Coturnix japonica: one gene and its partners. The protein of the gene in region 1 interacts with the protein of each later gene in a pairwise test. Links are inferred from orthologs where the notes say so. Each region holds a gene or a part of one and is shown in the gene's direction. Other genes may lie near its edges.

What was found.
Region 2: the proteins of TRIM63 (region 1) and cytochrome b-c1 complex subunit 1, mitochondrial interact in a two-hybrid assay, tested with the Homo sapiens proteins (2 studies listed by BioGRID and IntAct). The link is inferred for Coturnix japonica from reciprocal best matches to the Homo sapiens genes TRIM63 and UQCRC1.
Region 3: the proteins of TRIM63 (region 1) and SQSTM1 interact in a two-hybrid assay, tested with the Homo sapiens proteins (2 studies listed by BioGRID and IntAct). The link is inferred for Coturnix japonica from reciprocal best matches to the Homo sapiens genes TRIM63 and SQSTM1.

What each region holds. Positions count from the first base shown.
Region 1 is NC_029538.1:2,857,272-2,867,683, forward strand, and holds TRIM63 (E3 ubiquitin-protein ligase TRIM63), read left to right. Parts: upstream 1-4,587; 5' UTR 4,588-5,128; coding exon 5,129-5,362; intron 5,363-5,452; coding exon 5,453-5,622; intron 5,623-6,559; coding exon 6,560-6,728; intron 6,729-6,994; coding exon 6,995-7,090; intron 7,091-7,191; coding exon 7,192-7,425; intron 7,426-7,550; coding exon 7,551-7,573; intron 7,574-7,687; coding exon 7,688-7,812; intron 7,813-7,900; coding exon 7,901-7,972; intron 7,973-8,085; coding exon 8,086-8,096; 3' UTR 8,097-8,276; downstream 8,277-10,412. Other genes in the region: serine/threonine-protein kinase PDIK1L, read right to left, coding at 1,828-2,112; SLC30A2 (zinc transporter 2), read left to right, coding at 9,075-9,127, 9,343-9,542, 9,697-9,843, 9,918-10,071, 10,145-10,319. UniProt on the Homo sapiens protein: E3 ubiquitin ligase. Mediates the ubiquitination and subsequent proteasomal degradation of CKM, GMEB1 and HIBADH.
Region 2 is NC_029527.1:6,716,468-6,726,716, forward strand, and holds the start of cytochrome b-c1 complex subunit 1, mitochondrial, read left to right. Parts: upstream 1-5,130; 5' UTR 5,131-5,199; coding exon 5,200-5,262; intron 5,263-5,936; coding exon 5,937-6,077; intron 6,078-6,512; coding exon 6,513-6,599; intron 6,600-7,367; coding exon 7,368-7,497; intron 7,498-8,266; coding exon 8,267-8,465; intron 8,466-9,077; coding exon 9,078-9,157; intron 9,158-9,267; coding exon 9,268-9,383; intron 9,384-9,654; coding exon 9,655-9,798; intron 9,799-10,249. Other genes in the region: SLC26A6 (solute carrier family 26 member 6), read left to right, coding at 1-2, 283-458, 542-706, 855-1,007, 1,217-1,299, 1,394-1,541, 1,640-1,753, 1,884-1,961 and 9 more. UniProt on the Homo sapiens protein: Component of the ubiquinol-cytochrome c oxidoreductase, a multisubunit transmembrane complex that is part of the mitochondrial electron transport chain which drives oxidative phosphorylation.
Region 3 is NC_029528.1:4,614,277-4,624,638, forward strand, and holds SQSTM1 (sequestosome-1), read left to right. Parts: upstream 1-3,784; 5' UTR 3,785-3,861; coding exon 3,862-4,039; intron 4,040-4,139; coding exon 4,140-4,235; intron 4,236-4,965; coding exon 4,966-5,195; intron 5,196-5,290; coding exon 5,291-5,447; intron 5,448-5,889; coding exon 5,890-5,979; intron 5,980-6,496; coding exon 6,497-6,738; intron 6,739-6,990; coding exon 6,991-7,198; intron 7,199-7,806; coding exon 7,807-7,964; 3' UTR 7,965-8,117; downstream 8,118-10,362. Other genes in the region: MGAT4B (alpha-1,3-mannosyl-glycoprotein 4-beta-N-acetylglucosaminyltransferase B), read right to left, coding at 283-379; MRNIP (MRN complex-interacting protein), read right to left, coding at 8,737-9,303, 9,818-9,905, 10,171-10,307. UniProt on the Homo sapiens protein: Molecular adapter required for selective macroautophagy (aggrephagy) by acting as a bridge between polyubiquitinated proteins and autophagosomes.

The sequences.
Region 1 (10,412 bases):
ACACTCTGGAATGTCAGACTTGCTAGTTAGCACTAAACCAGTGTTTACTAAAGCAGATGCAGCCTCTATAGGCCTTCAAAAGTGAATACAGCTATTAATACATAGAGAAACTTTAAAAAGTCTTCCTTCTCCCAAACCAAGAGCAAAATTAGTAACAAATGATAGCTACGTTTAGTTGTGAGCACAGTTAGTACTCAAACCAATTTAAGAGCAATTCTGTGTTAGCACTTAAACTGTATACTCAGGGTTTACAGCCAATAACAGCAAGATGGGAACCACAGCACAGGAGGGAGCAACTCCAACACAGAGCTCTTCCCACACTGGAGCTGTAATTGGGTCTCAGCTCAGAGCATCCAGATGACAGAATCCACCTCCAGATCTGGGACTGCGGCACAAGGAAGCCACACCAGCTCAGAGCTCACTACATAAGCCTGGTTCTGCTTATGTCTCCTGAAGCACTGCAGGAGACACCAACAGCCCTTCCCAGGCCTCCTCACACTACACCAGCTCAGCCTGGTAATGTAATATCACCTGGAGTGGGCAGAAGAGAGAGCAAGCCAAGGGAGATCTGGGTTTCTCTCTTTCAGCATAGGCTATCATAAAGTGATCTCTGCACTCAGCTCTGCCCTTTGCTCTTCTCTGCTCTTTGGAGCAAGAAAACAACCTGCAGCACTTGTGCCCCAAACACGGGCAAGGTCTGCATGCTGCACTGCTGACATAACCCAGCAGTGACCTGGGAGCTCTTCCTCACTCACAGTCCCACCCTGCAGCCTCCCTCACACCCCTCTTTTTTTCCCCCCTATCTTCTCCCTTTGCAGCTCCCTGCAAGTCTGATGCAGTATCTTACAGCTCCACTAACAAAATAAGGTACTACTTTTACCCCACGTGAGCCGATCAGTATTATTTTACCCTAATCCCTTCGTGGCAACGTGCCATTAACAATGACTGTGCTAGGGCAAGTTGACAAAGGCAAGAAGCCTTTCTCAGGCTCGCAGAACACCCAGCACAAGGGGATCAGAACAGCCATGAAGTGCTGGCAAATGAAGTGTTGGCAAATGAGTGCACACTAACAAAAGATTCAGTGTCAGCCATGCAAGAATGACAACAATAAAAACTGAAATGATAGAAGCTGATCGGGGATAATGCAGCACATGTTTATTTAGCAGGCCGCTGATTCTTTAATATCAGAGAGACAAATGTCTGCCAGGGGATGATTTAGAGCTGGGGCAGACTCCTAGCAAGCTCACATGAGCTTTCAGGTCCTTCCAGGGCTACGTATTGCTCTGAAATACTTGCCTTCCAACTTCTAGGCAACTCCATTTTCAACAGCCCCAACAGAAAGGATAGCAGTATCTACTCTTCTATTCCTCTACATACCATACATTTACTTCTCTTTGAAGTTATTTACCAGCTCAATGAGCTCTCTTAATTGCTTACTACATCTGGGAAGAGTTAAACGTTGGCTTACTACATCAAGACAGCCCCTTCCAAAGGCATCTGACATTAAGAAATCCTTCAGGGCTCTGCCTCAAGACATTAGTGCTGCTCATTAACCCTGCAGCAGGACTCTACAGGCCTGCACCTCCCCCTGTGGTGTTTCCCCAACTTAGCAAAGCAAGTCCTGGAGCCTTTAGCGTCGCATGGCTTCAAATTAAAAGATGCAGGTGATTGTTCAATAGATAAGCTCTTTTAAAGACATAAAATAAAGCAAACGATACCCTCTCCTGCCTAAATATACCTCAAAAGCCATCTTAGCTACCCACCTCCTTCCCTCCCAGCTGCACATCCACATAAGCACTTCCACCCCGTTACCTCAGCTTCATGTACCTGTAAATAAAGGGAAGAACTGGAGCCATGTGACATCTTCTGTACCATGCCATCTTTCTGCAAGATGCACTCCTCCAGGTGAATGACGTTGGGGTGCTGGCTCTTGATACTGCTAAGTGCCCAGAACTCACGCAGAGCTAGTTCCACGTTCTCTGGAGCATGGCACCGTATCTTTTTCACTGCCACCCGTGCAGAGGTCTTCCTGACGACTGCTTCGTACACCACACCATAACTGCCACGACCAACCTCCCGTATTAGATCGTACTTAGGCTGGCTACTCACCATCTTCAAGATCAAGGCTTCTGGGGAAGGGGGAAAAACCCACACAACTATAACTTATGAACAAGAACTGAGCTGTGTCTTCCCCCATATGGCCTGGCGTGGCAATGCCAGCTGCACCAACACCCTGCAGCGTGCAAGGAGGTCTCTGAGCATCACATTGAATGCAATGCTGTGCTCCAGTGCTGGAAGACTTCAGAAGTCACTCTTGTAAGCTTGAAGCCATAATAAGGGCTGGCTAATACATCATTTGGGTGGGACTATATGATTTCAAACACAGCTCAGCGTTCAAGAAGGCAACAATTCAAACCTAGAATTGCACTGCGCTGAGGCAGGGCTATCCCATATCCTGCTGTTCCTTTCCCTCAGTGTCTTTTGGGTTTTCCTATGCGAATAACAGGGCTGTTTCATGCTCTCCATCCACACCTGGGATATCAGAGAGTTTCTAGCTGAAACCTGCAGTTGAGGAGTAACAGGTTGAAACAGAGCTGACTTTTAAGATGACCGCATAGGTAAAGCTCGCTGTGATAACTTAACAATGGTTTTCCTTCTTCTGGCACTAAGATGAGATAGGAAGCATCACTGATCTTTTAACATCGCTATGACTTCCCAACTAGCTCCTACTGTCACAAGAAGCAGCAGAAGCACCCAGCTGACTTCGTTACTCCATAGGATATGGGGTGGAGCGATGCTCTATGAGGAAAACAACACACACAGCTCGGAATGGGGGAGGAAGAAGGGCAGCCCCACACCGTGTAGGCCCCGATGACCCCAATGCAATGGCAGCTGTGTCATACAGAACACCAGGGGAGGGCCAGGCCGGCAAGGCCGCAGTGAGAACTGCGTTTAAACGCCTTGATGGGGAAGGGAGGATCTCATCAGAGCTATTAACGAGGAGCTCGCGATTGATTCCAGTGCGGTAGGAACTATTTGTTCGGAAAAGAGAAAGAAACAGAGAGAGAAAGAAAGACAGGCATCATCAGTGCGAGGGCACCAAGCTCCGGCAAACCGAGGCCTCGCAAGGCCCCGATACAACACCCAGACCCCTCGTAGCTCTCCCACAACGCCATTATACCCCTGCCCGCCCCTCTCAACGCTCGGGAGCTCCGTGTTATGCGGTGGGACCCCGCAACACCCACCAAAGCCCCGCGTTACCTCCGCACTAAGGCCGCGCCGCCGCCGCCCGGCCGCCATCATAGGGACCGACCCCCCGAAGGCCACGCCCACTGACGCACCGCATTCTGATTGGCTGCGTGTATGTAGGCATTGGTGCTTATCTATTTCTTCTTTATCTATTTCCTCTTTATCTCTTTTTTATTTATCTCTTTTTTCGTTGCTTGGGGTGGGACAGCAAGCGAGCCTAGCTCCTCTGCTTCACTTTATCTGCGTGTCAGCGGCGCAGCTTTGCAATGACAGCCCCTTACCTATCCCTCTATTCGCCTATTTATTTACCCATCTATTTCTTCACCCATTTATTCACCTGCCCCATCATTGGCAGCGTCTCTGGGCTCCCCCGCTGTCCTCAATGGCAGCAGGGAGCAGATGGAGGTTGTGTTTACAGCGCTCGGGTTGGTTGGTTGGCAGCCGTGCCTGCATTGCTCGGAGCCAACTGGGGGTTGAGGAGGAGCCATTGGGGGCTGGGAAACCGAATGGGGCGTTCCAGCTCATCCTCTTGTGGGAATCCCCTTCATAAAGTCCAGCAGTGATGAGTTCAGTGGGCAGGGCCAGCAATGGGACAGGTGTGCATCCGGTCCCCCCCCCATTCCCTCCCTTACGGTGTGTATCTCAATGTACAAACCTCCTTGGAAGGTCTCCCAGTGCCAAAAAGGGGACAATGTTGCAAGATGTGCTTGGCTGGCTTCTGTGCTGTCACTTGGTTGACATGTGAGAGCCTTCCTGGAAGGAGCGTCTGGAACAGTCACAGGCTGCCCATGTCTGGGGGGTTCATCTGGGACAATATTAGAGCCCCTATAGCGTGCACCCACTGTGCTGTGTCCCTATGCATAAGTGTACTCATACAGCTGTGCACCCACGTATCCATGTGGTCATGCACCCATCTATCTGTGCACCCCTGTACCCTTTGTGCACCCAAGTAACCTCATTTACCCCTGTACTTGCATACTCATGCATCAATGTGCACCCATGCACCTGTGCACTCCTACAGCCCTCTATACAGATACCCCTGCTCCCATGTACCCATGCACTTGTGCCTCTGTGTGCCCATGGCTTTGTGCACCCACCACCCACTTACCGCAGCATCTCAGCACCCATCCCTTTGGCCACTTGCAGCACCTCCTACCCATTGGGCTCTATGGGGAACAGAGAAGCCACCTCACCCAACCCCGTCCTGTGACCCACAGCAGAGGTGTTATAATTATCCTCTCCCCTGCAGCTGCCAATATTTACAGGTCTCCCTGTGCACCGGCGCTGGGATTTGGAAGAACACCGTGTTTACTGGTGTGCCAGCTGACAGCCAGGCAATGTGATCAGGGCGGCTCCCAGCTGGGAGCAGTCTGGAGGGGCCACACTCCTGTTTTCCTGTTGATGTTTCTGGGTCAGGTTTTGCAAACAAGTGCAGGGCACAGCCGGGCATGTGGGATGTGCAGCATGGTGCTGCTGTGCTTGGGAACCCCCTTGCAGGCTGCTATATGGATTTTTGGGGTGCAGAGAAGCATGAGGAAGAGAGGGTGCACGCACCAAGCACATTTGCTGTATCCCCCAGGTGCTGCAGTTCAGCTAAAAAGCCATCAGCTGCCCTGCAGGTGCCTTTCACCCCACAAGAAGTTGCATTTTGAGGGTGCAAAGGGCAATGCAAACCCCCAGCCCGGTGCTTTTTCATCCTGACTCCCCAGCAGCATCGACCCCCCCCCAGTCTCTCGGTGTTCCCCAGCAGGGCCATACGGACAGCATGTCCCCAGCATGTCCCCAGCTTGTTTACTGCGGCCGCGCGCCTCGATTGTCACCGCCATGTGACAGCTGATACCTTCGGACAGCCGAGCCGACTCCACGTGATTGCTGGGCTATGGATAAAAGCTGCACGAGGGGCTCCGGCTCCAGAACTGAGATTGCTCTGAGGAGGAGCAGCAGTGCCGTACCAATGGATTTCCAGCCCAGCATCCTACGTGATGGCAGCCCCATGGAGAGCCTGGAGAAGCAGCTACTGTGCCCCATCTGCCTGGAGATGTTCAGCAAGCCTGTGGTGATCCTGCCCTGCCAGCATAACCTCTGCCGCAAGTGTGCCAACGACATCTTCCAGGTGAGATGAGGACCCCCCTGGACGTTGCCCTGCTCTGGGATGCTCTGCAGGGGCACCTGGGGACACCCCGATGTCCTTGTCCCCCTCCAGGCTGCCAACCCATACTGGCAGAGCCGGGGCAGCAGCATCATCTCAGGGGGCCGGTTCCGCTGCCCTACGTGTCGCCATGAGGTCCTGCTGGACCGCCACGGTGTCTACGGGCTGCAGAGGAACCTGCTGGTGGAGAACATCATCGACATCTACAAGCAGGAGTTCTCCAGGTTGGTCCTATGGGGACACAGGGGCAGCCACATCATTTTTGGGGGGGCGAGGAACCAGGGAGGCTGGCTTGGTGCTCCCCTCCCCACCTTTCCCTAACCCAAATCTCCACCTCACAATTGAGATCTCCATTCTCAACTCGAATCTTCACCCCCAACACAAATCTCCATCTCCCAGCCCAAACCTCCCTCCCAGCCTGTGCTGTTCTAGTCTGCGGTTGCTCTGTGGGGACAGGGGGACCCTAAGGGGGTGGCAGAAGAACGAATCCAGCCCCCATCCTGGCACCCTGCAGCTTTGGCTTTATGTTGAAGATAAGGGGTGTGAGGGACAAATCCAGGCTCTGCTTGTGACAGCAGGGAATGATAAGGGACAGGGGGACAGCCTGAGGGGTCTGACAGCATTACTTAGTGGCAGAGGTGCAGCAGGAGGGGGACAAACAGGGGGGTGATGTTTTTTAAAGGACCCAGACATGTGAGTTCATCTCCCCATTCTCCTGCCCCACTGTAAATATTGTTCCAGCTCCATGGGAACAGGGATGGAAGGCACGTGGCAGGTGGCAGCAGCCCCCGGGGGGGAGCTGGCGAACCCCCCAGTGGTGACTCAATGGCTGTCACCCCCCTGAGCTCCCTGGAGCCCCTGCCCGGGTCACGCGTTGGATGATAATAATAAATGCCAGCAGCACTCAGCTAAAATTAGGAGCTTGTGTAGCATCCCTGGAGCGTGGCCCCAACTGCTGCCATGCCTGATGACACACTGCTACAAACTGGGCTTACTGGGCATGCAGGAGGATAAGGCCAGGATCCGGTTATGGGGCAGTAGTTCTGCATTGGGTGGGGAGGTCACTGCTGTGGGGACGTCACCATGATGGGGACATGACGTCAATATGGTGGGGATGTCATTGTGCTGGGGATGTCATTGTGGTTGGGCTGCTCTCTCCAGCAGGCCGCTCAAGAAGGGGGAGCACCCCATGTGCAAGGATCATGAGGATGAGAGGATCAACATCTACTGCGTCACCTGCGAGGTCCCCACCTGCTCCATGTGCAAGGTCTTCGGTGCTCACAAGGACTGCGAAGTCGCCCCTCTGCAGAGCATCTTCCAGGGCCAGAAGGTGCAACATGGGGGGACATGGGGCCACAGTGGGGAATGGCCAGATCTGGGCGATGTGCTGAGCTAGGGTGGCTGCAAATAGCATTGGGATGCCTCATGGGGTATTAATAGGCAGCAGGCTGACTTTGACCAGGAGACAGGCCTATATTTAGTGCGATGCCCCCCCCTCTCAGCCTGTGGGATGGGGGCTGGATCGTGATACCCTGGCAGCACCCATCTGTGCCCTGCAGGGGTTAAAGCTGCTTCTGTCCATCTGTCCCTTCCCAGAGCGAGCTGAACAACTGCATTTCCATGCTAGTAGCGGGGAACGACCGCATCCAGACCATCATTTCCCAGCTGGAAGATTCCTGCCGCAGCACTGAGGTGAGGGACATGGAAACATCCCCCCAGAAACCAAGTGCTGGGGGAGGCAGCCCCTGAGCAGAGGACACAGGGGCTGGAAGGACACATCTTTGTCCCCATAGGAGAACAGCGAGGCGGCCAAGCAAGAGCTCTGCTCACGTTTTGATGCGTTTATGGCTCTGCTGGAGGAGAAGAAGACGGAGCTACTGGGACGCATCACCCGTGAGCAGGAGGACAAGACAGGCTTTGTGCAGGGCCTCATCCACAAGTACAAGGAGCAGCTGGAGAAGTCCAGCCGGCTGGTGGAGACGGCCATCCAGGCCATGGAGGAGACCGGCGGGGCCGCCTTCCTCATGGTGAGACCCCCAACCCCTAAAGCCCTTGCTTCCTATTGGGAGTCTGTTGTGCCACGTCCTGGTGGCACAGGGACATGCTGGGTGTTGCTACTCTGCCATCCTCACCTTTCCTCTTACTTCCACAGAATGCCAAGCAGCTCATTAAAACGTAAGTGCCCGAACTGGGGAAAGCTGTGGGATCCCCATCCCCTGCCAGATGTGGGTCATATGGCTCTGCTCTATGCTTGGGGCTGTGGGATCAATGCTGTGCTCCCTCCCCCAGCATTGTGGAAGCCTCTAAGGGTGGCAAGCTGGAGAAGATCGAGCAAGGCTATGAGAGCATGGACGCCTTCACAGTCAGTCTTGAGCACCTCGCCGATGCTGTCCGCGCCCTCGACTTTGAGCCAGGTAATTCCACCCCAAAAAACCCTTTGGGATCTGACAATGAAGGTCCTTCAGCAGCTGCCCCTCACTGACATCCGGTGCCTGTTTACAGATGAAGAAGATGAGTTCTATGAAGAGGTGGAAGAAGATACAGGAGACACAGAACCCGAAAGGGTGGTGGCAGGTAGGGCCAGCCCTCTCTGTGCCGGCACCAGCAGCATCACAGCGGAAACCCCACAGACAGAGGGGATGACAGAGGATTGATGAAGTCCCACTCACTGCCCTCTCCCTCTGCAGCCCCCCAGTAGGACACAGGATGTCCAGGACAGAACCTGGGGACACACTGACGGGGCCGGCCATCCAGCTCCAGTACAGGACACTTTTCTATACGGGTGCCAAGAGGACTATTCCGCACGTTTTATATGTTCCTTGTTTTGTATATAATTGTAATGGAGTTGTGTATTTTGTACAGAAAACTGGTGCTCTGGCTTTTGTTTTCTTTTCCTCTCTCACCTCTCGTTTTCTCACCCTGTGATGGGTTTGGGGATGTGGGAGTGTTCTCTGCTATGGGATCAGTGCCCAATTCTCAGCCTAATTAACACCTCTGGTGGCCTTGGCACCTCATGCTGGCTGTGCTCCCGGGATGTGACAGGTCAGCACCCAGCAGGATTTATCCCAGTGCTTACCCGGCCTCGGGGACATGGGGTGACGGTGCTCCAAACTCTGCCAGCCCCAAAAGGGGACAGCATGGAGCTGAGCTCACATGGGTCCAAAATCACAGCACAGTCGGGTTCTTCTGTGCCAACATAAACCCAGCTCAGGGTTGAGGGTAAACTGAGGCAGTGCTGAAAGCAGAGCCCAGAGCTGGAGTCAGCCCCACAGCAATCAGTGCTGCTCCTGGGGGCAGTGGGGTGCAGTCACTGCTATGGGGGTGTCCAACCACAAACTGGGGGGGGGGGGGTTGTTCCCATGGTGGGGAGGGGGTGCACCAATGCAGCTCTGTCCTTAAGGGATGCAGCCACATCCTGCATGCAGGTTAAGATGTGCTTCTGTGTGATACACATGGGGATGCCCAGAGCAGCCCCTCCGTGACCCCGAGAGCCCCCCGGCTGCGGGCTGCGGCACGGCCAGCGTGGGGCGAGGCTCAGCAAGCGATTTGCAGCCGGCTTGGCCCTCCTCCCCCCGGCCTTGCTTTGCACACGGGTCCCGGTGCTTCACACGGCCGCGGTCACAGCTGCCACCAGCTCCGGACCCGCATCGGGGTCAGCAGCGCCGGACCCCGCAGGATGGCAGCGGGCGGAGGGGAGAAGCAGCAGCTGCTGGGCGAGGGAGTGGGCAGGTAAGAGGGTGAATGGGGGGGGGGCTGGAAACCTGCGTGCACCCCTCTCCTCACTGTGCTCCCGGATGGGGTCTGCCAAAGCCATCTGTTTAGGGAGAGGATCTGGGGAAGGGGACACGTCGGAGCAGGGCTAAATGCAAAGAGCGGGCTGCAAATCCCTTCCTCCCTCCCCCATGTCCCCCAACCGGGTGCCCCGATGTCACCTTTCCCTGCAGGTCCTACTTGGGGATGGTACAGAAGCACACAGCCGGCTCAGCGCAGGGCCAGGCGCCCACCCTGGAGCTGAGGGCACGGCACCGCCGGCACTGCCATGCAAGGGGGGCTGATAGCGACCCCCACCAGCAGCAGCGGGCACGCAGGAAGCTCTATGTGGCTGCTGGCATCTGCCTCATCTTCATGGTGGGGGAAGCTGTGGGTGAGTGAACGCTGGGTGAACACATTGCCCTGCATGGCCCCTCTTGTCTCATTCTGTGCTGTGGGTGCAGGCGTGGGGCAGGCAGGGCACCTCGTTTTGCCATGGGATGCCCATATGCTTGGATCTGGATGGGGATCCCCCATCCATACCACAGGTGGGTACCTGGCACACAGCCTGGCCATCCTGACGGACGCTGCCCACCTCCTGACGGACTTTGCCAGCATCATGATCAGCCTCTTTGCCCTCTGGGTGTCCTCACGTCCCGCCACCAAAACCATGAACTTTGGCTGGCACCGGGCAGGTAACCTCAGGATCCAGCTACAGCCCCATTGTGTGCCATCCCTATGGCACAATGACATGGAGGGCTGTCTGCAGAGATCCTGGGGGCCCTGCTCTCTGTGCTGTCCATCTGGGTGGTGACGGGTGTCCTGGTGTACCTGGCGGCCCAACGCCTGCTCTTGGGTGACTACGACATTGAAGGCAGTGTCATGCTCATCACCTCTGCCTGCGCCGTGGCCGTCAATATTGTGTATGTATGATGTGCTGTCAACCCCTGGGCAGGAGATTGGTGGCTGGGGAAGTCACTGCTGCCCTGCCTGCAGGATGGGGGTGGCTCTGCACCAAACAGGCCATGGGCACAGCCATGGAGGGGCTCATGAGCAGCCCCACACCCACGAACAGCCCAATGCCAGCGTCCGTGCTGCCTTCGTCCACGTGGTGGGGGATCTGCTGCAGAGCGTCGGCGTCCTCATTGCATCCTACATCATCTTCTTTAAGGTATGGAGGGGAGGGAGATATGGGGGACATAGTCTTGTCCAGCCATGAGGTGAGATGGGGTTGATTGTTAATGGGGATTTGGCTGCACTTGTT
Region 2 (10,249 bases), on another chromosome or scaffold:
GGGTGAGCCAAGGGACTGTGTGCTGCCAAGGGAACGGAGGGGAGGGAGTGAGGATGAGGGGGATGAGACTTCATCTATGGCACAGTATTGCCATGCCAATGAGCAAGTGGGTGGAGAGGCCTTTCTTCTGCCTTCATTTTACCCCATGAAAAAGACAGTTGGCTGAACCAGAGCCAAAGTGCCATGGGCACACCAACCAAGTGGCCAGCTGCCTGCTTTCTCAGAGAGGTCCCAACTGGATGCCAAGCACTGACTTTGGACTCCTTTCCTGCATGTTTCCAGGTCCCTTTGCTGTCATATCTGTCATGATTGGCAGCGTGACAGACTCCTTGATGCCCAGTGAGGACTTTCTGGAGTTTGTCAATGGCACCAACGTTACTGTAGTCAATGAGGCACAGCGGGACGCTGCCAGGGTAGAGTTGGTAGCCACCATCACAGTCCTGTCAGGAATCTTCCAGGTAAGAACCTAGCAGGGAGTTGTGGCTGTGCTGTCCCCATACCCGCAAGCTGTGGGACCTCCTCCTGTCACCTCTCCTTTTAGGTGGCCCTGGGTCTCCTGCAGTTTGGCTTTGTGGTGACCTACCTCTCAGACCCACTGGTGCGTGGCTACACTACTGCTGCCTCTGTGCACGTCCTCATCTCCCAGCTCAAGAATGTCTTCGGGGTCTCCCTAGGCGAGCACTCAGGGCCACTCTCATTGTTCGTGGTGAGTGAGGGGGTCATTGACACCCTGGATTACCCAGATGTGGTAAAGCATCACCTACAGAATACATGGAGTGTCCCTGAAAGAGCTAACAGCAAGGTATCTATCTATCTGTTTTCTCTCCTGAACACTTGCCTCCTGCATCCTCCAGACCTTCATTGAGATCTGCAAGAAGCTGCCAGAGACCAATGTGGGCACCTTGGTTACAGCCATCATTGCCATGGTGGCTATCTTCATTGTGAAGGAGCTCAATCACAAGTTCGCTGCCAAGCTCCCCATGCCCATCCCCATCGAGCTCATCACGGTACTCAGAGCTGTCCCAGCTCCCCAAGGGGACACTGCCATGGCCTGGGGCAGGCGCCATTACCCACAGATGTCCCTGTGCCTCACAGGGTGATGGGGGGTGGGACAGGGTGCCTCTGCAGAGGGGACTCCAGGGCACACACCTCCTTGTCCTCCTGCATAAGCCATGCTTCTGCAGGGAGGCCCTGCCTCACCCAGCTACTCCCACAGATCATCATCTCCACTGGCATATCCTATGGTGTCAACCTGAACTCCAAGTTTGGCATCTCCGTGGTGGGGAACATCCCCAGCGGGTGAGTGGGGCTGGGTGGCAAGGGCAGCTGTGCTGGGGCACCATGGTACCCACAAGGCCCCCTCCTGAACCCCATCTTCCTGCCTTGGACATAGGTTGAAGCCGCCTGTGGTCCCTAATGCCAGCTACTTTGGACAGGTGGTGGGCAATGCCTTCGCCATCGCTGTGGTGGGTTACGCTATCTGCATCTCCCTGGGTAAAATCTTTGCCCTGAAGCATGGCTACAAAGTGGATAGCAACCAGGTGATGCTCTGACACATGCAGCCCCTTCCTCTGTAGTGTTTCACAGCTCACAGCCCCAGGATGCATGGTGCTGCCTGACAGCTTCTCTGTCCTTGCAGGAGCTGATTGCTCTGGGCCTCTCCAACTTCCTGGGGGGCTTCTTCCAGTGTTTTGCCATCAGCTGCTCAATGTCACGAAGTCTGGTGCAGGAGAGCACAGGGGGAAACAGCCAGGTGGGTGTGGGTGGGTGCCTGCCTCTGCTCTTTAAAATTCCTTCCAATATCCCCATGCTAAGGTGTCAACATGGGGAGACACGAGCTGGGGCAAGGAGAACATCCAGGTTCACTCCATCTCTCCCCTCAGGTGGCTGGTGTCATCTCTTCCCTGGTCATCCTGGTAACCATCCTGAAGATTGGAGAGCTCTTCCATGACCTGCCCAAGGTGCAGCCAGTTCTACAGCCTCCACTTCACTTCCCAGTCTTTCACCTCCAGTATAAAGGCAGCACAGGGAGGGGGATGCTCTATTTGGGGTGGGAAATGACTGGAGGCAGCCTTGGATACGGGGCACAGTGAAATGCCCCCCAGATGTGTCCTTGGCACTATCATGCATACAGACTTCTCTTGTAGGCCATCTTGTCTGCCATCATCATCGTCAATCTCAAGGGCATGTTCAAGCAGTTCAAGGACCTCCACACACTCTGGAAGTCCAACCGTGTGGACTTGGTAGGGCATTGATTGGCCCTGAGGGAGTTCCTTAACCCTCCACGGGGCTTATGGTGCCATGGGACTAGGCCATGCCCCAGCTGACTGTGCCCTCTCTAGATGGTCTGGGTGGTGACTTTCATAGCCACGCTCTTGCTGAACCTGGACATTGGCCTGGGAGCCTCAGTGGCCTTCGCATTGCTCACTGTCATCTTCCGGACCCAGCTGTGAGTACCCTCAGGCTGGGCTGGGTACAAGGGAGATGTGGTGCTTGGGGACAACGTGGACATTTGTACTAACTCCCAAGGCTGACACTAGGATGTCCCTGGTGTGGGGTAGTGAAGTGTTGGGGACCTGGTACTGTTTCCCAAGGGCAGAGGAAGCCCACAGGAACACCCTGTTGCTCTGCTCCCCACAGCCCCCACTATTCCATCCTGGGACGTGTCACTGACACCAATGTCTACAAGGACGTGGCTGAATATGAGAAGGTAAAAGCACTGAGGTGTTGGCATGGTAAGAGAAGAAGCACCCACAGGAGGTGGGAGCAATTAAAAGCACCCCATGGTATTTTAAGGGAGGGCAAGAAGGAGCACATCTCTGTCCATAGGGTAACACACCCTCTCCATCCATCCCCAGGCAGAGGAAGTCCCTGGAATAAAGATCTTCCGCTCCTCCTCCACCATCTATTTTGCCAACGTGGAGCTGTACTCCGATGCACTGAAGAAGAAGGTAGGAAAATCTGCCCTGAGCACAGCAGGCAGGGCACAACACTCAGGTCCCTGTGGCCTGCCAGGGGAGATGTGGTCCAGGACATCAAGGCTGGCTTAGCAGCAGCATGGTGTCCCTCACATATTTCCATGGCATCACTGGGCCTCCTAGGCTCTGCCCCTCTTCCTGACGGCCATGGGGCTGTATGGGTTTGCAGAGTGGCATCAATGTGGATCGCCTGATTGAGAAGAAAAAGAAAGCACTCAAGAAACTGAAGAAACAGCAGAAGAAAGCAGAGAAGGAGAAGGCAAAGAGGAAAAAGGTGCTTCCCAGCACATCCCTCTCGTGCTGTCCCACACCATTTCCCTGCCCGGCCATAGCCTTCTGCTCATGCTAGGCATCCCATGGGGCTCCCAGTTTGGCCCACAGCCACCAGACAGGGAGAGGCATTGGCATGCATCTGGGTTAACAACATCACCTTTAACGTCAGTGGAGGAGGCTGCAGTCATTAATGATTAGGTGGGGGAGCTGGTGAGTCATTCATAGTCTGGGGCAAGTTAATCATCAAAATGAAGCACAAGAGCAAAGGCTGACTGGGGAGAGGAGTCTAATGAGGCCAGTTCCAATCATTGGGGAGAGCTCACAAGGTGACCTGGAAAGAACCTAGAAGTGGGACTTGGGTGTGAGCAAAGTGCCCACTCCTGGCACATCCACCACCATAACACAACTAGAACCCCTCCAAACCCCAGTGCGCTATGGGGCAGGACAAACCCAGGGTCCTGGGGAGACAATGCCCTGCAGAGTGCCACCAGCACCCACATGGCGAAGGGGTTTTCACACAGGACACAGAGGCTGAGTGCAATGGGCCAGGACTTGCAGTGATTGAGCTGAGTGAGGAGGAGGATAGAGCACCTGCTGAACCCACCCTGCGCTCCCTGGGGCTGCCCCAGCCTGACTTCCATGCTGTCATCCTGGACTTCAGCCCCGTCAACTTCGTGGACACAGTCTCCATCAAAATCCTGAAGAACGTAAGGGCTCAGGGGTGGTGCAGGAGTGGGACAGCCAGATGGCAGCCGCTCATCCCTTTACCCTGACATGATTTTTACCATTTACAGATCTTCAGGGATTTCCATGAAATAGAAGTGGACGTCTTTGTTGCCTGCTGCCCAGGTGAGGAGAAACCATAGAGCTATCAGCCCCTGTAGGGAATAGCCACCCCTGTGAGACACGGCTGCTGGTCATGGGGCTTCTGTGCCCTCTGTGGTGTCCCCTACCCCATATTCTCCCCAGAGGACAGCAGTTGCAGGAGCACATCATGGGGTGCCAGGCTGTCCCCATTGGCTGCACATTGCTCTGGCATCCCAGTGTGAGCTCTGCAATACTGGCTGTCCAGTGATGTCCTGGGCAGGGGGTGGGACGCTTGTTTGGGTGGAGGCCAGCTGCCATAGCTTTAAGTGCTTCTTTCTCCCTCTGTGCAGCGTCTGTTCTTGCCCAGCTGGAGCGGGGCAACTTCTTCAGCTCCACCATCACCAAGCACTGCTTCTTCCCGTCGGTGAATGACGCTGTGCTCCACATCAATGCTCCATCGGTGCGCCCAGCCTCGGTAAGCACCCAGCCTCACCATCCCCACCGCCAACACGTTGTGGGACGGCACGAGCCGACTTTCCTCTCTGCCCCCTTTAGGAGAACCGCAGCACCAAAATGTAGCCCTGCAGAAGAGACGACTGAGCAGCGGGGCCGTGCCGCTGGGAGGGCTCCACCACCACCTGCCCGGGGCCTGGAGCCTCTGCGGGACGGGATGGGGGGCTGGGAGCCGATCTGCCCCGTGTTTGGGGCGAGGAGCCCGGCAGCGGAGGGCTGTGATGCCGGCAGCGGGCTGTCACCGCGGCGAGAGCCCAAAGAGCACAGCGCGGTTTCCTCAATAAAGGCATTCTCAGCCAATTAAGCCTCATCTGTGCAAAGGGCGGCGCTGCTGTGCCGGCTGTGTCCCGCTGTTCCCTATGGGCGGCCCCATATCACCGCACATACCCCATCCCCAGTGCCATCGTCCGGCCCCATACCGGGCACGGCGGTCCCATCCCCAAACCTTCCCGTCGTTGCGCCCTCCCACCGCAAGGTGGCGCTGCAGCGAGAAGCGCTCTGTCCTCATGTGCCTTGGGGGCGCTACGGAGCATTTTGCGCATGCGCTTCCCTCCCCTTAGCGCTCCTTCCTTCCGCCTCCCGTTTGGCGCATGCGCAGTGCAGCCCGCTCGGTCGCTGTAGGGACAAGATGGCGGCGTCCTTCGTGTGCCGGGCGGCCGGGCGGGTTTTGCTGCGGAGCCCCCATCCCTGCGTGAGTCGTTGTGTGACAGCGGGGAGACTGGGAGCTGGGAAGGATGGGTGGATGGATGGATGGGTGGGTGGGCAGCTCGGGTGTGCTGTGCGGCGGGACACGGCCTGTATCTCGGCCCGGAAGGTCACGGGGACGGGTGGGCCGCGAGGGGCTGTGGGGGCTGTGGTGACCTCATTGCAGCCTTTCAATACCTGAAGGGAACTTAATCCCAGGAGGGGAGTAAACTCTTGGAAAGGGCTGATAATAGCAGGACACGGGGAAATGGTTTTAAGTTAAAAGAGGGAAGATTTAGGTTGGATGTTAGGGGGAAGTTCTTCACTAGGAGAGTGGTTAGGCCCTGGAACAGGCTGCCCAGGGAGGTTGTGGATGCCCCGTCCTTGGAGGTGTTCAAGACCAGGTTGGACGGGGCCCTGGGCAACCTGATGTAGTAAAGGTGTATGTTTGGTGGCCCTGCCAGGCAGGGGGTTGGAACTACATGATCCTTGAGGTCCCTTCCAACCCGGGTCATTCTGTGATTCTGTGTGGTCCGTGGGGGCTGCGGGCTGTGGGTACAACAGGGCCGCTGTCATCAGCCCGGCCCAGCAGTGTGCCCTGCTGTGTGTGTGTGTGCTGGAGGCCTGTGGGGCGGAGGAGAGGTTCTGGTCGTTGTTGAGTGCTGTGAGCCTTTGTTCCAGGCGACTCTGCTGCCTCTGACAAGGAACCGTGGTACGGCCACCTACGCGCAGACACTGCAGAACATCCCTGAGACGAACGTCACCACGCTTGACAACGGGCTGCGAGTGGCTTCGGAGGAGTCCAGCCAGCCGACGTGCACGGTGAGCATCGAGTGGATTGAGACTCACTTCCCATAGTGACAAACCTGGCTTTGAACTGAAGCTTGGTGAAGACTGCCCCAGTTCTCTGTTATTCAGTCAAACTGTAGTAATACTGTGCCTAGCCTGGTTTCTTTCCAAGCTTTTGCACTGTACTGGTTTCCTGAGCTCTGCAGTGTTTGCACTGATGTAGTCCCACATGTAAGCAGTAACTGACCAGAAGTAGTTTCATCTTAGGCAAACCTGTCAATGGCTTTTGTTAAACTGCTGTGTTCAATGCTTGAATGCATACTGAAAATAGTTGCTGGTGCATGTTCCTATTCTGGGGCTACTGTTGAAGCACACTTTTTCTTGCTGTTATATATATGGCACAAGTCTTGGAACATACTGTCTGCTTGTTTATTTTCTAATATGTGTGCTTGCTATCTTTGCTGTTAGGTGGGTGTGTGGATTGGGGCGGGGAGCCGCTATGAGAATGAGAAGAACAATGGAGCTGGTTATTTCGTGGAACATCTGGCATTTAAGGTAAGACTTGGTCTGGCATAAGGCTGCATGGAGACAATGTTCCAGACGTTCACTGACATGTTAGTTCTTGCTTTGGAGGCTGCAGGTATTAATAGAGGTGTAATTGTGAATCAGAATCAATTCATCTGAATCTCAGAGGCTCTGCACGTAGTATAACAATAAACTTTAAAAGGCATCTAGTCTCTATGGTGGTCTTTGTTTGAATGTGGGGCTGTGAATGAAGACAGCTAGTATTTTTTAGTTGGTATTTCTCCTCTTAAAGGAAAAAAGTCATGAGCAATAAGTTGGACTGGTTCTCTGATGCTGCGATTCCTTACTATCCCAGCTTATTGTAACACATGTATAAAACCATGATGAAACTTGTTTCCTCAGGGTAGCAGGCAGACCTGAATCTCTATTTCAGAATCAATTTTCTGCTCCTATTCTGGTATCCTCCAAATATTGCTAGTTAAAGGACTAGAAACCTGCTTCCTGTTTTTAGTGGTGACTTGTCCATATTTACTTACACTGTTCAGCCCCTGTTGTACTTTAGCTTAGATTTTCTCCTTTCCTTTGGGTTTCATTCGGCATTTCAAAATACATTTCAGCCATTTTTTAGCTATAGTCAATAAGCCAAGTGTTAAATATTTTGCTTTCTGCACCAGCTCTTGTTTTTTACAAATCACGTGGCAGGTTTTATTGCATTAGGTTTTTACTGTTCTTTTTACTGCTTTATTTCAGCTATGTGGGGGAACTGTTCACTATCTATGTATTTCTGCATACTTTTAGGGCACAAAGAACCGTCCTTGTGCTGCCTTTGAGAAGGAAGTGGAGAGCATGGGAGCTCACTTCAATGGGTACACCTCACGTGAGCAGAGTGCCTTTTACATAAAGGCTTTGTCCAAGGACATGCCAAAAGGTAGGATGGTCAGTGGCGGAAAAAAAGCAGGTGTTTCTCCCCCACCAGTATACTTTATAGTAATTGACCAGGGAATGAGGCTGTTGCTGAGCAGTAAATTGAAGACGGTATTTGGCAGTTGGAGGGAGCACTAACCAAGAGGTGGTGCTTTAAGGCTGTAAGCTCACTTGTACCTAAAAGCAGCCTTACAAACCTCTTTTTTTTTTTGTCAGGCTGTTCTGTATTGCCAGAAGGCAGGGGGTAGGGGTTCAGTAGTGTGTAGTTGCTTTATGGAGCTAAGAAAATGCTGTTAGCAGCAGCTACTGTGTCAGAAGTGCTCAGTGCCGCTCTTGTGGATGTCACATATGCTTTGTGCTACCTATCGTGTGCAGGCTCCTCTTTGGGTCAGTTTTGTCCAGAGGAGGTGGTTTGAGTCAGAGCTATTGTTATGACTCAGTCCTACTGTAAGTGTGGACCACTCTGTAGACATCACAGACTCTCCACAATAATTCAGCTTGTTTCTACAACAGTACCTTGTTTCTGGCATGCATCACCTTCTGTATTTGTTACCTTCTGCCAACTTTCTGCTGGCAATGGTGAACTATCACAGATGCTTGGCAAGCTGGTTTAGAGATTTCTTCATCCTAAAACTGTGTTATTTGTCCCTCTCTGATGCTGTGGGAGTAGATATGTTGTGTTGCACCACCACCCCGGCACAGTCTATTTCCCTCTTGCTGTATCCCTGCTGCCTTGTTTGTTTTTGATTGCTAATGTAGCAAATATGTTGCAGTGGTAGAGCTTCTGGCTGACGTTGTGCAGAACTGTGCCCTGGAGGAGTCTCAGATCGAGAAGGAGCGTGGTGTCATCCTTCAGGAGCTAAAAGAAATGGACAATGACTTGACTAACGTTACCTTTGATTACCTTCACGCCACTGCTTTCCAGGGCACTGCACTGGCCCGCACCGTCGAGGGGACCACAGAGAACATCAAGTAAGCTATAGACTGGCTGCACTATGTGACTTGTGGGCTCAGACTTTGGGGTGCATAACTCCTGCAAGAAAACCAGTCAGAGTGTATGCAAGGAATAAGTGAGACTGTATGTGGAGGTGATATGTGCCCATGGGCTTCATAAGTCTGGACTGTGCTTTCCATCTTAGTGCTGGTAAATGTGTAATGCTGCTCATGTTCCTCTCCAGAATCAGTTTTCATGTATGATCTGATGGTGGTAGGGCTTGGCTGAACCTTTTCCCATACTTGTTGGTTTGATGCCTTTAGAGGCATTAAGAGCTAGTGGTGCTCATTAAAGCAGTGGCCTCAAGCATTCACACCTGTTAGTGTGTTGGTTTCCCTGTGACCAAGGGTTGATACTCTGGTCTGCATTTGAACTCTGTCCTTAACTCTTGACCACCTGTTTCCTTTCTCTGTGTTCCAGTATTAGAGTGCAGGGGAAAAAAGGCAGTGCAGATGTACTTCAGGAAAGTATTATTATCCCATAACTGATATAATCAACAGCATCACTTTTTCCTCTACACTGTGAATTCAGTCTCTAATCCCTCCAGCTCTGAGAAGCTGATATATTAGGTATCTCTTTGTGCTTTCTAGGCATCTGACTCGAGCAGACCTAGCTTCGTATGTTGATACTCACTTCAAGGCACCTCGTATGGTCCTGGCAGCTGCTGGAGGTAAGCCCAGATTGTTGAGACTCTAGTGATCAACCCCCTGACATGCATCTCTAATGTAAAATAAGATGATTTTGTTAAATGGAGCTCTATGAAACTTCCCTTATTGACAGGTATTTCTCACAAGGAATTGGTAGATGCAGCTAAGAAACACTTCAGTGGGGTGTCCTTTACATACAAAGAGGATGCTGTGCCTATTCTGCCACGCTGTCGTTTCACAGGGAGCGAGGTAAAGTGTTCGCATGTTCTTAGTCTTATTGTCACAATATGTTGGCTTTTAGATGGAAACAAAGTCCAGTAAGAATATGATACTATTGCTCACATTGTCTAATGGAAATACTTCATCAGAGCAATTGATTTGTCCTCAATAGAGCCTGAGGCAATTTTATTTCACTGGGATAATGTGAAGTTCTCCAGTTTGTCAACTTGGTGTAGCATCAGACTGCAGACAACATCAAAATGCTCAGTTAGCTCTTTCCTGTTCCTTGGTGACTTCCCAGATCCGTGCCAGAGACGATGCTCTGCCTGTTGCCCACATTGCTCTTGCTGTGGAGGGGCCAGGATGGGCTGATCCTGATAACGTTGTCCTCCATGTGGCTAATGCAATCATTGGACGCTATGACCGCACGTTTGGAGGTGGCAAGGTAAGAGACCTGGGAATGTGATAGGGAGAGCATGGAGTCTTTTCTGCAAGGTACTGTGGAGCCACCAGATTAAACTGCTTTATGGGAGGCTGTTCTGTTTAGCTTCCAGATTTGGTCAGAGATATGGAAAGTAGAGGTGTAATCGAGGCTAACCCAGGATAGTTTTTAAGATGTGATGCTAGGAGATGAGTTGGGCCTTTTCTGCTGTGTTTGGAAGAAGTTCAGGTGATTAATTCTGAGCAGCTTTTCCTGCCTTCATGACCTGACTGCTCAATGGTGGAAACATTATGGAGTAACCTGTAGTCTCTTGATGCAAGCCTGCCTTGCATATATAAAGCAATTGGAACTTGTATAAAGCCCCAATACTACATCCTTTCTCGTCTATAATTTGTCTTGACTGCTAACCCCTGCTACTGGGAAACCTTGTACTTGCCAATATCTCCACTTCTAT
Region 3 (10,362 bases), on another chromosome or scaffold:
GTTCCCCCAGCGCCCCGGAGACACGGCCCCCATCTCTCCATAGGGATTAAAACCCCGTACGGTTTGAAGCCGGCACGGGCTCTGCCCTCCAGCATCGCAGCCGGGAGCGCCCAGCAGCCCCGTGTCACCCCCAGCCCCGCGGCGCGGCCCCCCCCGGGCGCAGCGGGACCCCAGCGGGGCACAGCGGGACGCCGCCAGCCGGGACCCCGTGTCCCAAGGACCCACCCGCGGTGTCTCCGCGGACAGTCCCGCATCGCCCCGCGGCCCGGAGCCGCCCCTTACCTTTGTGCCCGCCGAAGGCTCCGTACCACGAGAGCGAGAGCAGGGCGCAGAGGCAGCCGAGCAGCAGCGTGAGCGCCGTGCCGCTGCGGAGCCTCATCGCCTCCTCCCCCGCATGGCCCGAACGCGGCGCGGCCTCGGCGGCCCCGGGGGCCCCGCAGTGCGCGGAGCGGGGCGAGCCGCCACAACGGCCGCATGCGGGGACCGCGCCGTGCGGGGCGGGGCGGGGCGGGAGGGGCGGGGACGGGACGGGAGCGGGCGGAGAGCGCCCCCGTGTGGCGGAATGCGGCACTGCAGCGCTGTGTGCGCTACATGCGGGGACATGTTAGTGTGTGCGTGTACCTGGGTGCTCGTCTGCGTGCCTTTGGTTTGCATGTATGAAGGCAGATATCTCTGTACTCGGCTTATACACATAGAAACAGGAACACTCGACACAGTGTCCACCTTCCAGCTGGCCAGCACAGAAGATATCAGATATAAAAGGGTTGGAAATGCAGAGCACTGCAGGCTCCCAGAGCAAAACGAGAGCACAACTTTTATCCCTTGTGACGTTCGTATTAATGGCAAAGCTCACATTGACTCCTACAGGCCCTCCCTGCCCCCACAACAGCATTGGCTTTGTTTTGTCATTCCTTTTTTGTTTTGTTAAGGAAAGTTTGAATTGTGAGCTGCAAACACACAAAACCCAAACAGCGAACACACAAAACCCAAACAGCAAACACAGCCCGTCAAACACAGCCCAACAAACAGCCCAACAAACACAGCCCAACAAACACAGCCCAACAAATACAGCCCGTCAAACACAGCCCAACAAACACAGCCCAACAAACACAGCCCAACAAACACAGCCCAGTGACCTTCGTCCCGTCGGTGCTGGCAGCACTGAGCGTGTTGCAGGAGCTCGGGCTGCACACTGAGCACACAGACAGCAGCCCATAACTAAAGGCCATTACAGACAATAGGAGAAAGGCGTGTTAGGCCCACAGATAGAATGCAGTGCAGACTGAGAGCTGATTTTGCCCAGTTCTCTGAAGAGCTGTTCACCCCCAGCTGCTCTGCATCAGCACAGCGCTGTTACATCAGCAATGAAGTCACCTCACTGCCTGGTGCCCACAGGCTGCTGTATTCAGACATTCCTGCCTCTCATGTGGGGCAAAAGTCACAAATCTCACTGTGAGCACAGCACTCACTGCAGGCAATGAATGTAGGTAGGAAAAAGTGCCACCTCACCTGTGCAAACACGGAGCTCCGATGTGCTCCCATAGCACAGATGTGTGCTGTGCTCTGTGCTTCCCATCCGCACATTGTGCCCACCTTCCTCACTCTCTGTCCGTGTCTTCCTCCCTTAAAAACAAATGCTGTGTCACACCAGTGACAAATGGTGCTGATCCCATGTAACCACCACCAGGTTCAAGAAATCCAAACCTCAAAATGAGGCAGCAAAAAGACAGCTCGGCTTCCCCTTCCACCCACACAGCTTTCCAAAGCAACGTGTCTGAATATGATCCTACCACCAAAAAAGGGATGTACTTCTGTATTAATGCACGTACACCTATTAATGTATGCGTATACGTGTATGTGTAAGCATGCATTTGTGACACCCTGGGGGCAGGATGGATGCAAGGTGTTATGATGGTGATTGGATGCCAGGAGCTGCCCCATGCAGCTCTCTGTGCCCTGGTGTGGCTGAAGGAGGCACGGTGGTGGTGGGGCAGCCCTTCTGCAGGGCTGGAGGAGGAAGTAGTCACGGGACGGGGTGAGTCACCAGCATCTGACCTGGTACATCCGGAGGATCCCTCTCCAGAAGCCTCTGGAAAGCACCAGCACCTGCTCTCTGCAGCTCTGCACAAGGGCAAACCCTCCCAGCCCAGCTGCAGCCCCTTGGGTGGTGATTTGGATAATGATTCCCTCTGCAGAACCTCCTGCAGCCTCTGTTGTGGTCCGTGAGCACAGGAGCAGCATCCCAGCAGGGCTTTGCTGTGACAGTGCAGAGCTTGGGTAGAAGGAGCACTACTGACGACTGAGCCTTTGGAGCAGCAATCTCAGCAAACGTTTGCAAACAGTTTCCAGCAGAAGGTGGGTGGAGGGAGGAAGCAGAGCTGCGGGGCTGCTGAATGCTCCTTTCTGAGCCCTCCCTCTGCAACTTGGAGTCGTGAAACTGGAACAGTTTTATTCCCATCCTCTTTGCTGTCCTCCTGCTCCGTCCATCTGGGGAGCTGCTCATAAGCCGGGGCTGACAAGTGGTTTTTTGAGCAAGGGTTGTTCTATGGATGGAATGTGGTTCCTAAAGAAGAGCAAGAAAACATTCAGTGCTGCCAGATAAATTCCAGGCCTGGGTCCTCCAGGTTAATACAGGCTCAGGTTAACAAGAGCTTAAGCCAAATCTCAGGCTGCAGAGCAGTGTGCAGTTGGGGTTGGTGGGGAGACATCTGTCTGTCCGTCCGGCTGTGGGATGGGAGGATGCAGTGAGTGCCATTGGAATACATGGGAGCACGGCAGGGCCGAAGCACCAGGCCACGGGGAAACACCAGAGTCAGGGCCTGGAGGAGGAAATCCCCACCTCGAGGAGGAGCAGGGAATGCTGAGTCACCCCGTCCCGTGACTGAGCTGAGCTCACTGCTCACCGCAGGCCTTGTTTGCTTTGTGCTTTGAGAAAGTGAATGATGTCACGGCCAGAGAGCCCAGCGTGACTCAGCAGGCAGCTGAGATGGGACGCTCTCCATGTTTACTGGATGGAAGTGCCCATGGAGGAGAGCAAGGACTCATGTTGATGCCTGGCTGTGGCTCACACCAAGCTCTCACTTGTCACCTCATGCTGCACGAGTGCCACGTCCCAGGAGCGTGCTGTGATCCCAGAGCAGCCACATGTGCACCAAGGGCACATCCACACGGCAGGCCGTGTTGTGGCACACACAACCCATCGTGGGGGGACGCTCACCCTGCAGTGCAGCACAGCATGGCTTACACACTGTGATTGCCTCAGCCCAAGGTGGGCAGCCAGGCTGTGGGCTGGAGGGAATCAGTGCTACAGAGCTGAGGCAAAGGGGTTGCTCCAAAAGTAATGCCTCCCATTTGCAGGTGGGATGGCAGCAGAGGGTGAAGGAGCCAACAGCTGCTGAGTGTTATGGAGCCCAACGAGTGGGTGAGCACAGCACTGTGAGCACAGCACTGTGAGCACGGCATGGCCGTGTGTTTCACAGTCACCTGTAGAGCAGCATGCAGCCTCGTGTTCACCACTGATGACAATGCACAGCACAGTGGTGGTGACCGCGTTGAAAAACAGTGCTTTGTAGCTGAGAACCTGCTCTGTCAAACAGCGTCACTGTGATCTCTGTAGCTGTTGTAGTTTCCATGCAGATAAATAGGAGGCATTACTTTCGGGGCGAATATGGGCTCTGTATTTCCAGGCGGCGGGGCGGTGCCTAATGGCAGTGGTCGTGGTTTAACCCAGGGCTGTGCCCACCCCGGCCCGTCCCCCCGCTCTATAAGGCTCGGTGCCGCCGCTCCCTCCCGCAGCACCGCCCGCCCCGCGCCGCCTCCCGCCGCTCGTTGTCCCGCAGCAATTCGTGCTGCGCCACAGCCATGGCGGCGCTGACGGTGAAGGCCTACCTGCTGGGCAAGGACGACGCGGCCCGCGAGATCCGCCGCTTCTCGCTCATTGCTCCCGTCCGCTACCAGCCCGTCCACGACCGCGTCGCCGAGCTCTTCCAGGGGCTGCTGCGGGCCGGGCCGCCGCCCGCGTTCCGTATGCATTACAAGGGTGAGCGGGGCGGGGGGGCTCGCTGTGGGTCGGGGCCCCCTTCGTTGTCCGGGAGGTGGGTGCGGGCCGAGCGCCTGACGGTGTGCTCTGCTCTGTCCAGATGAAGACGGGGACCTGATCGCGTTCTCCACCGACGAGGAGCTGGATATGGCCATGCCTTACGTGCAGGACGGGGTCTTCCGTGTGTACATCAAAGGTAACGCCCCGCAGCCCGGTGGCACCGAGCGCTCTGTGCTGCTGGCACGGCTCCGAGACCGGGAAAATCCCGGTCCTGTCCCTCATCCTCGTGCTGCAGCTCAGAGGGGAGGTTACATAAAGGGCGAGGTAAAGACGGGCACAGACCCACTGTGTGCAGGGGTTCCTCCTGGCTCCGGGGCCTGGGTTGGCACAGTGAGCGCTGCAGTGTTCAGGATGGTCCTAGGAACCCCCTGCCGTACTGCCAGCAGGTGCCATGACATGTAAAGAAACCCCAAAACCAGCTTATTCCTAAGCACATCATTCCCCAGTCCGCTCTGTTCACTTGGACACCTACAAAGCTTTATCTGTAGGCTGTGATGTGAGTAGTGTAGGCCGCCCTTCTTGTCTCAGTTCTCACCTGCAGTGTCCCCTGGCACTGCTCAGCTCTGTTCAGAAACATTCTCTTCTCGCAGCACTCCACAAGGTAGGAGGATGCTCCAGGCAGGGTGGTGCAGCACTGATCTAAAACAAAGTGTTTGAAGAGCGGGTATCCTTGAACCACCCCTTTGCACTTGGTTTATGTTCTTATGTGCCCCCAGCTTGTGTTTGGCAGCCAGTGTAAAAATAAACTGCCCTAGTAAGTCAATACTGCTGTGACAAGGGCTGTTTGTGTTTCCTTCCCCTCTGCCCGATTTCCAGCCTTTAAATAGTACCCTCGTTCTTGATGCAAAGATCCCTTTCCTTAATAGAGAAAAAGGAGTGCAGGCGTGAACATCGCTCCCAGTGCAGCCAGGAGCCTCCCCGGGACATGGTGCACCCCAATGTCATCTGTGACGGCTGCGAGGGGCCGGTGGTGGGCGCTCGATTTAAGTGCACCGTCTGCCCAGACTACGACCTGTGCAGCACCTGTGAGGGGAAAGGCATCCACAAGGAGCACAACATGGTGATGTTTCAGAGCCCGCTGCTGAATCCGTTTGAGGTGAGCAAAACCTATGGAGCAGAACCAACAAAAGGGATGCTGCCCAAATGTAAGCTTTAAGTTTCACCTGGTCCCATGAACGTTACCCTTTGCAGTGGATTCCCAGAGGGCGCTGGCTCCGTAAGATGCGGCATGGTGTTCCACCCTTCCCCTGGATGCACTGCTGGGGGTATCCCGCACCTGCAGCTCCGTGCCAGAACTCGGAACAAGCCCAGGCCAGTGCTGCTGCCTCCAGTCCACCCGCTGCTGGAGGTAAGAGGAGATGGTCTGCTAAAGGAGAATAGTAGTGGAGGAGCCAGAGAAGCTGGGACTTCACAGCCCAGTGTGGGATCTGGGTGGGAAAATAGACATGGGAACTAATCCAATTTGTGTGAAATAATGAGCCCTTTCCAGGACACTGGTGTGGTCTGGTGGCCACACAATATATGAGGTTATGGAGAGCCTATTTGGAACCAGACCAAGCAGAGCTATTAGGTCAAGCATGTCACTGCTCTGCTCTTAGATGTGCTTTCAGCATGGCTGATGAGCCTTAACAGTGCTAATGCCACTGGTCTTCTGTTCCAGAGGTGGTTTTGGTCTCTCTGCTGCCTTGGTGCTGTGCAGATGAGTGACACAAAACAAGCACCAAGAATTCCTGGGGATGTGCTCTTTCCCTATGGGCTGCTATGTGTACTAACACAAATTGTTCTTCTAGAAGCTTCTACTAACAGCCAGCCCCAGGACCCCAATGTCACCTTCTTAAAGAACGTTGGGGAGAGTGTGGCAGCTTTTCTGAGCCCCCTGGGTAAGTGACTTATGGTGTGTCATCCCCATCCCTGAGAATGGCTTTGCTCCCACCAGGAGCAGCAGCCAGCTGTTGTGGCTGGTACCAGAACCACTTTGTGCTACTCAGCCTCAAAAGCCTTAAGTTTCTGTGTACTAAAATTGTGTGGGTATAGGCCATCTACTCAGTACCTTTTCAGAGTCCTTTGTAAGGATCCAAGGAAGGGATTAATTATATAACCCCAAATCACCGATGATTTAAAATCATGTTACAGTGGTATTTTGCTTAGGCACACATACTTAAGGTCTGCCTTGACCCTCTAAACACATGGCCTGTCTTTTTAGTGCAGGATGACTAATTGGTGCATCAGAGCTAACTAAAAGAACGCTTTGCACTTGAATTCATACGTATTATATGGGGAGCTGTAGGGTTACAGTCATGCTGCAGCACTTAGTCCAGGATTAAAGTTTGCTTTTTTTCTTAGAACCGTGCTTTCAAAAATCTAATGGTTTTTTCTTGGTCTCAAATGTATTCCCAGGTATTGAAGTTGATATTGATGTGGAACACGGAGGACAGAGAAGCAAAGTGACTCCTGCTTCTAATCAAGAGAATAACGGTGCCGAGTCAAGCAGCAGTACTGCTAATCAGAACAGTCAGAGCAAACCATGCTGGAATAGCACAGATTCTGCAACGGTAGTAAACAATGTTACAGAGCAGATACAAGACATGGTGATAGATCCTGTGCCCACACAAATGGAAGATGGCAGCCTCCAGTCCCAGGTACAAGAAACACTGCATTAATTTAATACGCTTGCTGAGGCCTTACTGAAAAGGAAATAATTCAGTATGTGTTGAGGGACTGATGATTCAGTTGTCAGCAGATAGAGAATATATGGCACTTTGCTTTACTGGTTTACAGCAAAGGTGGGACTTGTTGTAAATGTAATTCTTCCTATTAAAAGCAGATAGTAAGAGCATGCATCCTACCTGGAAAGCACTACGGCACCTGGACCTCCTTTCTTTCCATTTCAGGCACACAGTGAGTCAAGCAGTTCATCAGGGGGTGACGAGGACTGGACCCACTTGTCTTCCAAAGAAGTGGATCCTTCCACAGGTGAACTGCAGTCTCTACAAATGCCAGAGACAGATGATCCCAGCTCCCTAGATGTAGCTCAGGAAGCTCCCCAGGCAGGACCTACAGGGCTGAGAGAGGCTGCACTCTACCCACATCTCCCACCAGGTACGAGAATGCATGCAGGTTGCACGTGAGTTAAAGTTGCTCTCACTTATTGCCAACTTGTCCAATATAAGCAAACCTGCTTAGGAACCAAGCTCACATACAGACAAGTTAAACTGTAACTTGTGCTCTGGCAGCACTCTGCATGCTGTTAGGAACAGGCATGTTCTCTGCTTGAATGGTGGCAGCAAGTCTTAAACTGGTACTAATATGCCATTTGAGCAGGATGAGAGAGGTGGCCTCTAATCAGTGTCCTTGCTGTGTACTCTTGGAGAGCCTTTTAATGCAGGCTGTAGACAATACATCCTGTAACTTAAGACACTTTTCTGGCAAGAGCTAGTTAGGAGTCTGCCAGGTCACTTAACTGAAACCACTGGCAATGAGGTTTACAGCAAGGACAGATGGATCTAACTCAGCTGCTTCCTTAGCAGGTTACATATGCTGTATCTCAAAATGTCTGCCTCATAGGATACAGAGGAAAGTGTCTTCCAGCGCTTGTCAGCTATGCTAGATCTGCTAGGATTAGTGCCAGCCCACCATGTGATACCACAGCCTTGGCTGGTTTGCTAATAATGTGAAGCGTTTTAACTTCAAACTCATTCTCTTGACAGAAGCAGACCCTCGCTTGATTGAGTCTCTGTCCCAGATGCTCTCCATGGGCTTCTCTGACGAGGGTGGATGGCTCACTCGACTCCTGCAGACAAAGAACTGTGACATCGGGGCAGCGCTAGATGCCATCCAGTATTCCAAGCAGCCTCCTAACTTGTAGTAGCCTATGTAACAAAAACCAGTTTCCTTCTAACTAAAAGAAAACTATGTGGTACAGTTAACTCTAGCAAATGCATCTTCTGTTACAGGTTTCTGTTTCATGTTCCTAAGTGCTTGTAGTGTGGAGAAAAAAATAAATACTGCCACTCTTTCACTGGTGATGAGTTTGTGGCTGTTTAATAATCATAACTGTTCTACTCTGTTAACTGGAACTTGATTATAAGTTAGGAGAAGATCCAGGCCAAGAGCACATGATTTCTATGTCAGGTGGTTCTCAGTGTAAAAGTAAGGCTAGCTCTGTGCCAGTCTGTTTCTTGCACATAACCTGGGCTCTGAGCAGACACCTCGGGGTTATTCATTTGTGAAGAGCAATCAAATGCTTGGCTCTGAAGCCTGCACCGTAGCTTTGAAAGAAAGAGTTGCTATGGGTGATGCAAACAAAGAGCTAGAACAAGGGAAAAGAGTTGCAGTTTATAGTGGGGAATTAATCACAGAACTTAACTGTACTGGTAAGATATTCTTAAAGCCTTGGAGGCATCCCTGCTCCCTCCCATCTGACCTACTTCCATTCTTACTTCTAATGTACTTGCTAGACACCACTGTGCAAACATAGCACTTGCTTCTTGGATCAGTCTTTCCCAACAAGACACAGCTAGATTGCCTTTAAACAACTTCTTTAATAATGCTCTTAAAACCACCTTCACTTCAAAATCTTGCTTCAGTATACAAGCCAAAAACAGACAGAAAAGCAATGGTGAAGATGCCCAAGTTTCTCAGAAATCATCATCAAAGTCATCACCTGTGCAGAAGAGGCGTTCACAAGAAGAGGTGTGAGGCTTGGGCCTCACAAGGGTGGGTGCAGGAGGTCTGCTACCAGTGCTGAAGTCACCAGCTCCAGCCCATAGCAGCTGACTTGGAGGTTCTTTGGCCAATGCATCCTTCTCACCTGAGCAACTGATGCTGGGCTGCACACTGCCAGGCAGTTTTAAGGCGAGTTGCTCAGTGCTAGGAATGCACTTTTTACGTTCAAAATCTGTACCTAGAGGTAGAGCACTTTGAGCCTGTTCCAAATGTGTAGTGGCCATACTTACTGCAGTGGTGCTGTGTGGTCCCAACCTTCCACTGCCATCCTGTGGTGACAAAGTGGCCATAACAGCATTTTCACTACAGTTGTTAGAACAGGAGAGATACTTTTCCCACTTGGAGGGCTTGGTACAAGCAGCTGGGGGTTGGCTGTTCTGCTGTGGCACTATGGACTCAAAGACAGCTGGCACTACACTGTCTGCAGAAACAGCATCTCCATCACCTTCATCAGGCACTTCTGTTGAACATTTCTTGCACTGTAACAAGGAAAAGAAAGAGTTTGGTTGTAAAGGCAGCACGTGTACCAAGAAACAGGCAAAGTAAGAGCACTTCTGTCCTTCAGATGCACTTAAGTTTTGACCAACAATCTGAAGCAGAGCTGAGGCTGATGCTCTGAGTGCATCTATGAACCCTGGCTGTGAAGACTCAAGCCAATTTAATTAGCAAAGCAGATAATCACAGTAACCCCAATAGCTGTGTCTTATGCAAGGTGCTGCTGCTCAATTGCAAAACAGAACTGACAACAGCTGCATTGATGGAGGAATCCGGCTCAACCACTTTTACCTTACAGCAGATGGCATCTGCTACTCCCTGACTAAAACCCTTCAGAGAGAAACTGACAATACGATTTGCTGCCTCTCCCTGCTCATTCAAATACAAGAGCAGCGGAAGACTTGTACAACTTCAAAGTTACAATGACATAAAAGAAGCCAGGAAAATACTGTTTTGTTTTACTCTTCTTACAGCCAAAAATACTCAAGAGGTTCTAACCTTTTTGGCTTGGTAGAGAAGCTGGAAAGCACCATCTTCCTCTGAGTTCTCCTGAAAATCACTGTAAAGGAAGCTCTTCTGCTTTTGCCTGACCAAAAGAACCATGTAGAAAGGTGCCTGATTAACTCTGCTGTCAGTTTTATCACAAACAAGTCACCATAAATGCTCATAAAAAGCAAACTCCCAGCAACAGAAGTCAAGCCACGCAGTTCACTGCAGCCTGTACTTCGTTCAGCTATAATGATAAAATACCTCCCAACTTGCTTTAACAAGCATTCGTCACTTAAAGGCAGGGATTACAAAAACCAAGTTCCTTCCGTTGTCATCCAAAATGGCAGCCTGTATCACTGTACCTTCGTTCTTCAACCGCATTCTTCCTCTGGGAACAGAACTGCTGCCTTGCTGTACTTCCTTCCTCCTCCCCCTCTTCTTGATCTTCACTGCCCTTGTCCAGATACTTACTCCAGCGACTGATTTCTGTCCTTTCCCCCTACAACATTGGAGAATTGCTGAAAACAGCAAAATACCAGGTTCTCAATTCTGGC